Mus musculus: one gene and its partners. The protein of the gene in region 1 purifies or fractionates together with the protein of each later gene. This does not show direct contact. Links are inferred from orthologs where the notes say so. Each region holds a gene or a part of one and is shown on either strand. Other genes may lie near its edges. The genes, in order: Bbs12, Bbs7 and Mkks.

What was found.
Region 2: the proteins of Bbs12 (region 1) and Bbs7 purify together in Homo sapiens (co-immunoprecipitation; 3 studies listed by BioGRID and IntAct, counting the BioPlex papers as one, with this or other methods). This does not show direct contact. The link is inferred for Mus musculus from reciprocal best matches to the Homo sapiens genes BBS12 and BBS7.
Region 3: the proteins of Bbs12 (region 1) and Mkks purify together in Homo sapiens (co-immunoprecipitation; 4 studies listed by BioGRID and IntAct, counting the BioPlex papers as one, with this or other methods). This does not show direct contact. The link is inferred for Mus musculus from reciprocal best matches to the Homo sapiens genes BBS12 and MKKS.

Annotation. Positions count from the first base shown.
Region 1 is NC_000069.6:37,311,167-37,315,441, forward strand, and holds the start of Bbs12 (Bardet-Biedl syndrome 12 protein homolog), read left to right. Parts: upstream 1-1,387; 5' UTR 1,388-1,419; intron 1,420-1,491; exon of another isoform or gene 1,492-4,275. Other genes in the region: Cetn4 (centrin-4), read right to left, coding at 1,191-1,193. UniProt on the Homo sapiens protein: Component of the chaperonin-containing T-complex (TRiC), a molecular chaperone complex that assists the folding of proteins upon ATP hydrolysis.
Region 2 is NC_000069.6:36,606,836-36,610,482, reverse strand, and holds part of Bbs7 (Bardet-Biedl syndrome 7 protein homolog), read left to right. Parts: intron 1-127; coding exon 128-303; intron 304-2,775; coding exon 2,776-2,962; intron 2,963-3,647.
Region 3 is NC_000068.7:136,888,579-136,892,935, reverse strand, and holds the start of Mkks (McKusick-Kaufman/Bardet-Biedl syndromes putative chaperonin), read left to right. Parts: upstream 1-1,529; 5' UTR 1,530-1,893; intron 1,894-4,357. UniProt on the Homo sapiens protein: Probable molecular chaperone that assists the folding of proteins upon ATP hydrolysis. Plays a role in the assembly of BBSome, a complex involved in ciliogenesis regulating transports vesicles to the cilia.

The DNA of each region.
Region 1 (4,275 bases):
TCAAACTTGTCCCAAAGAACTCTACACCCCTAATCAGTAGGAAGTAGTTTAATGATAACGCCATTCCTTTCCCCTCTACTCTTTTTCTCTCTCTCCTATCTAGCATTAGAGGGTTTAAAGAGTAGGAAAGAGTGGAAGAGAAAAGAACCCACAAAGCAGCAAACAGCACAGGGGCATGCATACTAGAACACAATCATCCTGCACCACAAAAACACAAAAGTAAAAAACCCTGGTTATGGTGAACGTCTGCTCCACAGATACGCATGAGAATGTTTGACCAATTATGCGGATACACCCAACATGTGGAAGATGAAGGATCTGTCTGCTGTTTGCTTCTTTATGTCACCAAAGTAGGTCACAGAATCACTGTAGATTCTCCTCTCTGCAAGTGGAGTGGGGAAGCCCTGGAGGTGGCTGAGGATCTAAGTGGCCTATTGGCTGTGGTCACTTCGGATTCTTGGTTCTAGAGCTGCAGATTCTGATGAGTGGTCTTCTAGAGCCTAGGGCAGCCACCTGAGTCACCATTTTTTTTTTCAGCAAGAAGTCAGTGACCCTTTAAGTGGCCTGAGTTGATGAGCCTGAGTGGTCTTCTAGAGCCTAGGGCAGTCACCCGAGTCACCATTTTTTTCAGCAATAAGTCAGTGACCCTTTAGCTTTGAGTGGCCTGAGTGGTCTTCTAGAGCCTAGGGAAGTCACCTGAGTCATCATTTTTTTTTTTTTTTTTCAGCAAGAAGTCAGTGACCCTTTAGCTTTGAGTGGCCTGAGTTGATGAGCCCCTGGCCATCAGGATTGAGTCAGTGGGCCCCTTCCTCTCCGTGAAAGAATTGCTGGTCCCCTGATCATCAGTGGTTAGCTAGGTACCCCACTTCCAGTCAGCAGATGAGTTGGTGGCTCCCTGACCCTCAGTGGTTCCTGTTCCTTCAGCGGCTGAGTTGATGGCCCGCAGGATGTTGGTGGCCCGAGGTTGATGGCCTCTGCTATGCTCGCTTCCCTGTCTTGAAGTCTGTCTGCAGTGGTCTCCGTGCCCCAGGGTCGTATCTCTTTATCGCTGGGCCAACCCTCATAGACTGCAGGCGTTGGTGGATAAATGGAAAGGGAGACCCATCTCTGTTCTCCCTGGCTTAGCTACTAAAGATCCTGACACGGAAGGCAGTAAGCTGGGAAGAACACCAGGGTCCCACAGCACTCACCATATCCCCTCCCTGCGCCCCTGCCCGCGCCCGCGCAACAGCCGCTCTCCCCTCCGCGGCCCGCGTTTGCTCCCGACAGGCGGTTGCTATAGCAGCGCTCAGCGCGCAAGCCCGCCCACCAGCTTCCGTGATTGACGACCATTGCGCCCAATGGAAAGACAAGAGAGCTCTGACCGCGCTCAAGCAGGCGGGACTGGCTGGGTTCCGGCGCTGTGCAGATCCGCGCGTGGTGAGGAGGGTCGTGGACCCTAGGGGCAGGAAGCCAGGGAGGGTGGGGGCGAGTGCTCCGTCACGCGTGTCCCCAGACTCTTTACACACCGGGCCAACAGCCCTGCGGCCTTCCGGCCCAGAGCCGCCCGAGGGCGCGCGGCGGCATGGAGCCCGAGAGGTGGGTGGGTGGGGGCGTCCTTGCGGGGCGGGACGCCAGCCTGGGACCGAGGACGGCGTGGGCCTTCTCCTGGGCTGAAAACAGTGCAAAGCAATCTTTTCCTAGTGTGCTGAGTAAAACGTGGCGCATTCCCAAAGCCGCTGCCTCACGTCGCAGACACTCAGGTTGTAATCCTTAAATCTCCTTAGGTTCCTGGGGTAAGTTTGTCCTTATGGTAGAAGCCAGTTTTCCTGCCTTAAGTTTTCCCAATGGGAACTCAAAGGATGTAAAGTCATAATATTTTGTGAGTGAAGTAAAGTATTAAATCATTTACCTATAATCTATTGGTTTTTTTTCAAGGCACGTATCGCATCCGAAAAGTTACACTTGGACAGTTTTCAGAGTCATAATTAATACTAATTTTAAATAGATTTCTGAAACCCAGAAACGAATATTAGTCAGACAGATAGGCAGGCATTCCCGCGCTCATACACACAAACACACACACCGGGGTGGGGGGGGGGAGGAGAGGGGGGTGGAAGCTGCCTTTTAGACATTCCTGAATATCATTTGATCTGATGACTATCAAAAGGCTGCTAAACCTAAATAAATCTTACATCACCATGATTTAGGAATTTGGATGTTCTAGTGTTAGAGGTTATGGTTTATGATAGGTTAAAGATAGCTTAGGCAGTAGGTTCCTTGAAGAAGAACATTCCAGAAAGAGGGACACTTAGAAATACTGAGACAGGGAGCATGCTTTGCATAGTCTAAAAGCACAGAGAAGGCCTGAGCACAGCAGATGAGTCAGAAAGGAAGAAGTGTGGGTTTTCGTGCTGTGTGGGGACAAGGCCTTTATGTGAGTGAGTTAGGGAGACTTTGTAAGATTCTCAGTACAGAAGTGAAAGGATGTGACTCACTTTTATAGGAACTCCCTGTGCTAAACAGGAGTAAAGACTATTTTCTGAGAGGCTGCTAAGCAGTGGAGTGTTGTGGTTAGATTATAGTGTTAGGAGTAGACTGGAGAGGACACCAGACTTAGTTCTGAGGAGATGAAAATCCTAGTTATACCTATCAAAAAAACGCAGAGCTTTTAAACGTAACCCCTGAAAAGCAAATGAGATGTGATCTTATGAAAAGACAATTTCTGAAGTCAGTATGCCATTTACATAATCTGACTTTGCTCTCCCGTGGCAGATAGAAAGCTAAGGAAACAGTCTGACGAGCAACAGAACTGACCTGTTTGTGGAAGGCATTAGTGCCAGTCACAGCAGAACAAAAATCAGGTTGTGTTAGTGCCGTGCCAAGAACAGTTACCAGAGGTGCCTGGTCACTTTGGAAATTGCCCATCTTCCCATCCCTGTTACTGCCATTGCTGTTTCACATCCAACCTCTTAGAAAATAAGACATTTTGAGTTGTATTACTAATAGCCTATTGGAGTCTCTTCAGAATCATTTAGAAATCTTCCCAAGTTAGGGATGCTAAGATACTTCTTCAGTTTCTAGTCAAAATTGAAATAGAGTCTTCAAATGTTAAAAGATCTCTTGTGAGTATTAATTTTGATATCTGTTGTATAAGACTTTTCTTGCAGATTGTTGAAATCCATCCTTTTATCTGGGAAAACCTTTTTTAACATAATTCAATACAGACTGAGTTTGAAATACCTATGGGTTTTTCCAGTTGTTTTGGATTATTTCTCACTCACAGACTTGATTCTTACCATTTAAACATACTCTAGAAAGGAGACCAGAACTCTTAATGCCACCCCCCTACCCACCCACAACAAATGATAAACATCTTTAAGGACTTAGGAGGCAAAGGGTTTGAAAGAGTAAAATGAAGATTTCTAAGGAAGAGATGATAAGTTACTGTCACACTGAAAGTGAAACAAAACATAGTTGATACAGTAGATAGCATAAACTTGGCAGTAGTTATATGGAGTTTTACCCTTTTATTTAATAGGAGATTTTGTGTCTGTTATTCAGTAATCATGCTTTAGTTTCCACAAATAGGTTAATTATTTTAATGCCAACCTTACATTTTTATTGTGATTTCATTTGTAATATGTGTCAAGTCTGTTGTATAAGGTAAACTCGAAAGTTTTAGCAGTGAAAAACAGCCAGACTCTTCTTCATGTCCTTTTTCCTTATTAATTAATTAATTAATGTATTCACTTTACATCCCAATATCAGCCCCCATCTCCTCCCAATATCCCCTCACACAGATCCTCCCCATGCTCTGGTCCCCTTCTCTGAGGAGGGGGAGTCCCCTCCACTTGGTATCTTCGCCCTGCTCATCCAGTCACTGCTCCAGTGGTTGGGGGGCTGCATGCAGCCAGACTTTTAAACATGTCCTTTCAACATTTTGTTTTTATTAACTAGGTACTCATGAAGGGAGAGAGAGACTGCTGGCTCCAAAGAAATCAGCGTATAGCAAATTACAAATACAAATGTAAAGAAAGGAACATTTAAAACACAGATTTCTCGGCTTCAAACTTACCAGAAAGTTACGGTTTTTATAACTGCATGGTATTGGCACAAAATGCTTACTTCTTCCAATACAGTTGAATTCACAGCCCAGAGATAAACCCATGTATGTATAGCAAGTTGATTTTTGATAAAGGTACTAAGAACATGCAAGAAAAGGAATAGTTGATTCAACAGGTGGTATCAAACAGCTGGACACCCACATGTGAAAGGACCTCTGCCTTACACCAT
Region 2 (3,647 bases), about 700 kb from region 1:
GAAATGTACAAGTGGAAAATATTTGTTAACATTGTATAAGTTTAAAATCATAGCTTTTATAGTACAGGAAAATGTTTACAGTGAAATAACTTGTACACTTAACTTTTTCCCCAATTGATTTTTACAGCCAGTGTTCAAGACTTTACCAGGGCAGAAGATCTCGAGGCTGGAACTAGGAGGGGCCGTCAACACGCCTCAGGAGAAAATCTTCATTGCTGCAGGGTCCGAGATTAGAGGCTTTACAAAGAGAGGGAAACAGTTTCTCTCTTTTGAAACTAACCTCACGGAAAGCATTAAAGCTATGTATGTCTTGTTCTCTTTTATGTTTACATATGTATCTATCATACATCTGATTAAGTTAGTATACACTAGTAGGTTTTTCTGGAAAAGAAATTTGGCTACAGGCATTTCATTATTCAGAACCTGGAATCAATACACCGTTGATTGACAGTTGAAATGTTTTCAACTTCACATTGTGTGTGACTGTGTGTATGTGTGTGTGTGTCTGGGTGTTTATGTGTGTGTATATGTGTGTGTGTGTGTGTGTCTGGGTCTTTATGTGTGTGTATATGCGTGTATGTGTGTATGTGTGTGTCTGTGCACTCACATTCACTTTTTGTTTTGTGATCATTTTTTAAAATATATTTTATATTTTCCATAGATATATAGTAATTGTGTGCATTTATAAATCACAGAGGCACGTTAATATGTATATATGATATGTGATGTCAGATTGGAGGAATTAGCATACTCATCACCTCTGACAATTTATGTTGGGAACATTCTAAAACCTCTCTGCTAGTTATTTTGAAGTGTGAAGTTGTATACATTCAGTTTTCACTGTCTGGTTCAGTTATGATTATGGTAATGACAAGGTATATGTAAAAAGTTAAAAAAAGAACAACCTAGATACACAGGTTCCTATTCCTCAAGTGCCTGTGGTAGTTCTGGTTTTGAGGTAACGATATTATATCAAAAGGGTGTCTGGTCCCTGAATGTGGTGGTTCTTGTCTGTAATCCCCATACTTGGGAGACTGAAGTAGAGGGTTGTCACAAATTTGAGGCCAATTTGTGGTGTATAATGAATTCACCAACCATATGGGCTATGGAGTGAGACCTGGTCTTAAGAAACAAAACCCATTCTTTAAAGTTGATGGCCACTAATGGTTGTAATTTCTGGTAAATTGGGTAAAACTACATGAAAAATACAAGGCTTCCTGGCATGTGAAATTTAACAGTTAAAAATTTAGACTTTGTTTCCTATCAGGTGGTGGGGCAAGAGGGTAAGAAACAGAGATGGGCCTGTGTGGGCTGTGGTTTATGGTAGAGATCAGAGGACGAGTTCACAGAGTGACCCTCCTACCTTTATGTGAGTTCTGGGGCGAGAATGCAGGCCACCAGGTTTTACGTGACAAGCTCTTTGCCTTCTGAGCCATCTCGTCAGTCCTGAACTTTTAGTTTTTGAGCCATGGGGGCTAGGGAGGCCATGAAGTTCATGTAACTTCCCTCCTTTTTTTTTCATTTGTATTTATTTATTCACTCTATATGTCAGTTGCTGCCCCCCAGGTCCCCTCCCTCACACGGTCCCTCCCAGCCACGTCTCCCTCCCTTTTTCCTCTTCTCTAAACCCTATTAACCCAAGGGCGTCTTAGGAAGACTGGCAGCAGCCACCTCCCTCACACTTGCTAAGCAGAGTGACTAGGAGTGGCTTTTAAGTTTCTTCCTTCGCTGCGATGCAGCCAAGTGGTCCATGTAGCCAGAGGCCTGGTTTGGACACTCCTAGCTGACAGCATCTCTCTATGGTGGACAGAAGCTTTGTGCCATTCTGTGCAGTGCACGGCACTTCTCTCGACTGAGGACTTTAAACATCTGGTTTGTGAAGTGAGACAAGAGTCCAACAGCAACACGTGAAAAAGATTTCAGATGGTTTTTAAAAATATATAATGTGTTTGAAATGATCTTGTAGACCAAGAATTAGAAACTTGCTGTGATTATTAGCTACACTTTCTTAAAGCCCATTATAAATGAACTTATTCCAAAGATAACATCCTAATGAAAACATTTCCATCATGCATTCATCACTTAAAATCAGTTGAGGTGTACTTTCCTAGGCGCGTGAATGTGAAGCTAACTCTAGAGCGGAAGTTACCCCCACCTGCCATCTCTCATTTCCAATATGAGCCATTAGTCCTGGGCACATTTTGCTATTCGGTTATCAAAGGGATACTAACCATTTATAGAATTGAGTGCTAATGTGCTACTTTGGGTATATCAATTAGAACAGTGTTTGGCAAATGAAATACACTAAAAAAGTTTCTCGATTGATGCTGTTTTATAAAAACAAACAAATGAAGACACGTGTTGTTAGTTTTTCTGAGCCCTTACTGAGAATCCTGACTTACCGTCCTTGCTGGTGGTTGTCAGGTTGTCAGAATTAGAAGTGGCTTATGCATCAAATGGCTAACGATTAAAGCTGCATGGTTTGTGCCTATAGTCCCACACTTAGTGGGGAGAGCCAGTGCATAATGGTTCCAAGGTTGTCCTCAGTCATTAGGCTGAGATCAAGGACAGCCTAGAACTGCTCAAGAACCTGTCTTTAAAGAGAGAGGGTACATGAGATTAAGTGGGTGAAATGAAAAAACAAAACAAAACAAAACAAAAAACTTACCTTTATTAAATGCAAGTAAACTGTTTTCACCTGTTTAAAAAAAAAACAAACAGTCAGTTGCCTGTGCTTAAAATGACCATCCTAAATTATCATGTTAATGTCTTCAGGTACATATCTGGCTCTGACCTCTTCCTCAGTGCAAGCTACATCTATAATCACTACTGTGATTGCAAAGACCAAAATTATTACCTTTCTGGGGACAAAATCAATGATGTCATCTGCCTTCCTGTGGAAAAGTTATCTCGCGTGACACCGGTGTTGGCCTGCCAGGACCGGGTGCTCCGAGTCTTACAGGTGATGCCCTTTGAATTTTTATGACTCTTCACTATTCAGTAAACCATTGTGAGTGCCATATGCTTTAAGGTTACTTTAATGCTTCTATCTTATTCCAGGAAATGTGCTGACATCTTTTGAACGTTTTTAGAATAGATACAGAGAGGGAAACAGCTACCTTCCACTCACGCATCCCCAGTCCGAAATGCCCACCATTAGATAGAGAACTTGGATACTAATAACTATTGTCCACATGGTCCCCACTTGCTCCTTCAGTACTTTTCTAGTCCTCAAAAACTAAAAGGAAAATTGGATAGAAGAGGAGGCAAAAAATAATTTGAATTTATCAATCATTCAAACACATATGGAATAAAATACTCAGTAAATAATTCATTGCATAAATAAACGGTAGAATGTTTGCCTAACATGCTTGAAACCCAGTGCCACATAAACCCATTGTTGTGGAGCAGGCCTGAAATCTCAGCACACAGGAGGTGCAGGCAGGAGAATCAGAAAACCAACATCATCCTTAGCTTTGTAGGGAGTCTGAGATCTGCCCAGGGTATATGAGATCCTGTGGCAAAATATACAAAGTAGGAATGGGCAAGCAACCAGATAGAAGTTACCTAGCTGATTTCTAGATTTTGCTTTGTTTCATAAGAGGCTATCTGTATTCTTATTTATTTATTTATTTATTTATTTATTT
Region 3 (4,357 bases), on another chromosome or scaffold:
TATACAGTATCCAAGAAATACGAGAAGTGAGAACATGAAGTTGCTTGTCCAGCAGTGCTAAAAAAAAAAACATTAGAACATTATGTTCCTGGTCCCAGCTTTGGATATATCAAAGCAAGTGGATGAAAAGGAGGTTTCGTTTTGTTTTGTTTTGAAGTTTACTTCTATATTTTATAGCACAAAACTAGCTAAGTATTCAACAAATTCAATGAATGAATGAATGAATGGGAAGAATATACAAACACAGCTGATCACATTTTAAAGTCCTCTGGGAGCTATATTCACCTCTATAGATGCAGAAAGCCATACAATTAATGATCAAATTTGCTGTTCCATCCATTTTGCTTTGTTATTCTACGGAAATTCCCTCAACGTTATTGTCCCTTTAAATCTCAGTCTTCCTGAACAGTGGTGTTTAACAATTCTAATGGAAAGAGAAGGAATACCTAAGAGAAAAATTGTGTTAAGTCCCAAAATCCAAAACAAAAATACGTATTGGTATAAGATGGCCAAACAGTTCGGTCCAACTGAGGGAAGAGCTGGGTTATCCGAACGAAGTATCACACGCTCTTACCTACGATGGTGGCGGGAGGTGGGTTCGGGCTGTAATGCTTTGTTACTGTCCGGGGTCACTGGTGGACTAGTATAGTACCTGAACGGGAAAACTCAGACTAAAAAGGCGGCAGACCAAGCTTCAGCAGCTTTGGCTTACTTCCCGTTTCCCAGCGTCCCCTCGCACGTTAGAGAATGCAACCAGCGCCCAAACACAAGATGGCATTATCGACTTCATTCGGTTGGAAGCCACTGCCAGCACCTACGATGGCGCCCGAAGCCCTGGCTAAGGTAATGGGATAGCCGGAAAGAACTGCCCAAACGAAAAATGGCTTCTGTCGATGATATCAACGCTTTATGGAGACCAAAATAAAAATGGCGGCCAAAGCGGATTTTTTTTTTTTTTTTAAGAGGTTGGAAAAGCCACAAATACAATTGGCAGATAATGTATCACTGTACGTCAACGATATGTACTGATGGACAACAACAACAAAAGCCGTGTTTTTCGTATCACAAAACTATAGGGCAAGAGTAGAAAATATTTTTAATGAGGAAGATTAAAAGATACGTTGAAAAATAAAGGTGCCTTTCACGGTGCCAGAGAAAAGCGAAATAAAATATGTTTAAACATAATTTCATAATGCTTCGGGTGGTTCAAAAGAATAAAAGACTTATCTCTGAAGAAAAAAAAAAGAAAGGCAAAGCCAAGGAAATTAACCAACCGGATCCGGCACTGAATTGAAGACTCCCGACTTCTGCCAACCCCGCTCCTAGACTGGGCGGAAGTTTCCTGCATGGCGACAGGCTCTGTCTGCGCATGTTCGCTCTCTGACGTCACTCGGACCGGCAGGGCGGAGCCAGTTTCTACAGCTTAGGGCGTCCTGAGAGAGGTGGGAATTGACAACTGAGTGACAGGGCAAGGCGCCTTGTGATTGGTCAGAACAGAGGAAACGCCACCTAGGACTGGTAACAGCTTCATTCGTTCTACAAATACCTTTCGAGAGAGCAGAGAGCCGCACGCTCTGCCACCTTCTTGGTGCTGTGATGTGATGTGATGTGACCTTTCAATTTTGGTAGCGCGCACAGACAGAATACACGTCTGCCCGTAAGATTTCCGGTGACGGCCGCAGCTTTCCTTTGCGGGAGCTTCACGCAAACCCCGGAAGAGGGGCGGGGGAAGGAGGGGTGGTGCGCGTGAGCATAGAGTTGCGCATGCGCCTTCTTGCCGCGCAGGGCAAAGGTGGTGGCGCTCCGCTGCGTGGTTGGTTGCTGTGCAAGCGCGATTTCTGGTTTCTGGTGGTGAAGGTGGCCTGACCTAGAGGTGCAGCTGCTGGTGGGCAGGTGAGAGGGGCCAGGCCGCTGGTGGAGAAGCCAGCCTGCGGCCTCACCGCGTCCCCGCACGGAAAGGTCGCGAGTGGTTGGGACAAGGGTATTTGGGGGCGGGGATACAGAGGCACCTGGCTACCGGATTGGCCCAAGGACAGCTTTCAAAGTAGCTTCAGAGCGGGGCGGTGGTGGTGCACGCCTTTAATCCCAGCACTTGGGAGGCAGAGGCAGGCGGATTTCTGAGTTGGAGGCCAGCCTGGTCTACACAGTGAGTTCCAGGACAGTCAGAGCTACACAGAGAAACCCTGTCTCGGAAAACAAACAAACTAAACAAAACAACAACAATAAAAACAAAGTAGCTTCAGGATGTGACTATCTGATGATGGATCAGTGTGGGTGAGGAGGAGTGACCAATATCAGGTAGAGTTTGAATAGAGCTTCCTCAAACTCACATGCACAAGAATTGTAACTGAAATGACAGACCCATAATGCCACAGGAACTGGAAATACCTTTAAAATGCACGTTATTTACAGTTGCTGGCATCTTGAGAAAGCAATAAGTTGACACGTTGGGGGAAATGAACAGCCTAAACTACTCAAGGCAAGCAAAAAGACAGTTGTCATTCTGGAGTTTTACTCTCGGGTTGTTAGCCAGTTTCTGAGATTTACATATCTCTCATCATTTCTTGCTTTTTCCCCTTATTCTCTGAACATGACCCAGGCACCTCAGTGGACACAGAGTCTGGTTAGTGTCTGTTGATATCAAACATGCACAACCTGCCATGGAGAGATTACCCCAAATAAGCAACTATGTATAGTTTGGATGTGAGGTGGTCTGGAGGTTTTTCGTTATTGTTATTTACTGGTTTCTAATTAATTTTCTGAAGATAACTAATTTGTAATAGAAGTTAAAGTTGATTGTCATGTTTGCTCAAAATTTCTGGTATTGCCTAACACCTCTGTATATGTAGATTAGGTATCCAGAAGTTCACACATCTGATCACTTGCCAACTCTTTATTAACTGTCCTCAGACAAACATAAGTGCCATCCATTCTGTCTTTGCAGCTTTTCTGTGCTGTAAAAGTTTTCTTATTTCCTTCATTGCTTACCTGGCTTCCACACTTTCACACACACACACACACACACACAAAACCACAAAACCTGTTTCTTGAGAATCTGAAATTTTATTTTATTATTTAATTTAATTTTTTTGTTTCTTTGTTTTTTAGAGAGAGGGTTTCTCTGTGTAGCTCTGGCTGTCCTGGAACTCACTCTGTAGACCAGGCTGGCCTCAAACTCAGAAATCTGCCTGCCTCTGCCTCCCAAGTGCTGGGATTAAAGGCGTGCGCCACCACGCCCAGCTGAATATTTTATTTTCATTTTCTTGTCTAGCATAATGAATTGGAGGCCAGCACAGGTTACATGTGACCCTGCCTCATGGAATCTCAACAACATTTTTTTTTTTAAGGCAAAGGAAAAACACATCCTCCCTTTTCCGGTGATCAAAGCACAGTACCAGTCCTTACCTATCTATCACTGAGTACCAGTCCTTACCTATCTATCACTGAGTCCAGGCTGCGGCAGGAGCGTGTATTGCACAGCAGGTTCTTGATGTGGAACTCATTAGTACTCTTGCCAGTGACTTAGCTGAGACAGTACAGGTGTAAAGAGGATTGAGGGGAGATTTGAAGTCCAGGCGATAGGAATCTACAGTTCATCCCTTTAAGTTATTGCTTTATGACTCAGCCATATTGACCTGGTTTACTCGATTTTCTGAAAACTCGTTGGGAAAAACTAAATCTGGATGGCCTTTGTATGCTGTAATAACAGATTAAACTGTAACCCTGTTAGGAGTATAAAGGTTTTCAGTGACAATCGAGGTCACTAAAACAGTCGCCTGTAAACTCAGCTTTAGGACTTCCTGAGAATCGTATTAAATGTTCCTCGACACTACCCTGGAGTTTGGCTTCTGTGGTTGTTCAGCCTGAGAATTTACATTTCTACTAAGTTCCCCAGTGACTAGTGCTACTGATAATGAGACCACAAAACAAGAAAGTCATTTAGAGGTCCTAAGTGTCGTCACTGCATCTTAGGAAGATCATCTGAGATGTCAGGATGTGGACAGTCTTGAAGAGTGAGGGGAAATGTAGAATACATTATATCCAGATTTCTGAGTTGGATAGCTTAGTATATTTTTAATCTTGTATTGTTTTCAATTATGTATAGATGTGTGTCTCCTTGTTGGATATGTGCACTGAGTTGCAGGTGCCCTTAAAGACCTAAAGGTCTGTCAGATCCCCTGGAATTAGAGTTGCAGATGGTTTTGAGTCACCGGATGTGGGTCCTCTGCAAAAGATTTTAGCTACTGAGTGATCTATTTCTCCAGCCCTGCTTTCTCTTTCTTTTTGTCTGACCCCCCCCCCCCAATAAAATACAGGTATAACAGCAGTTTGGAAGGAAAGAAAGTTTGTTGTTGTT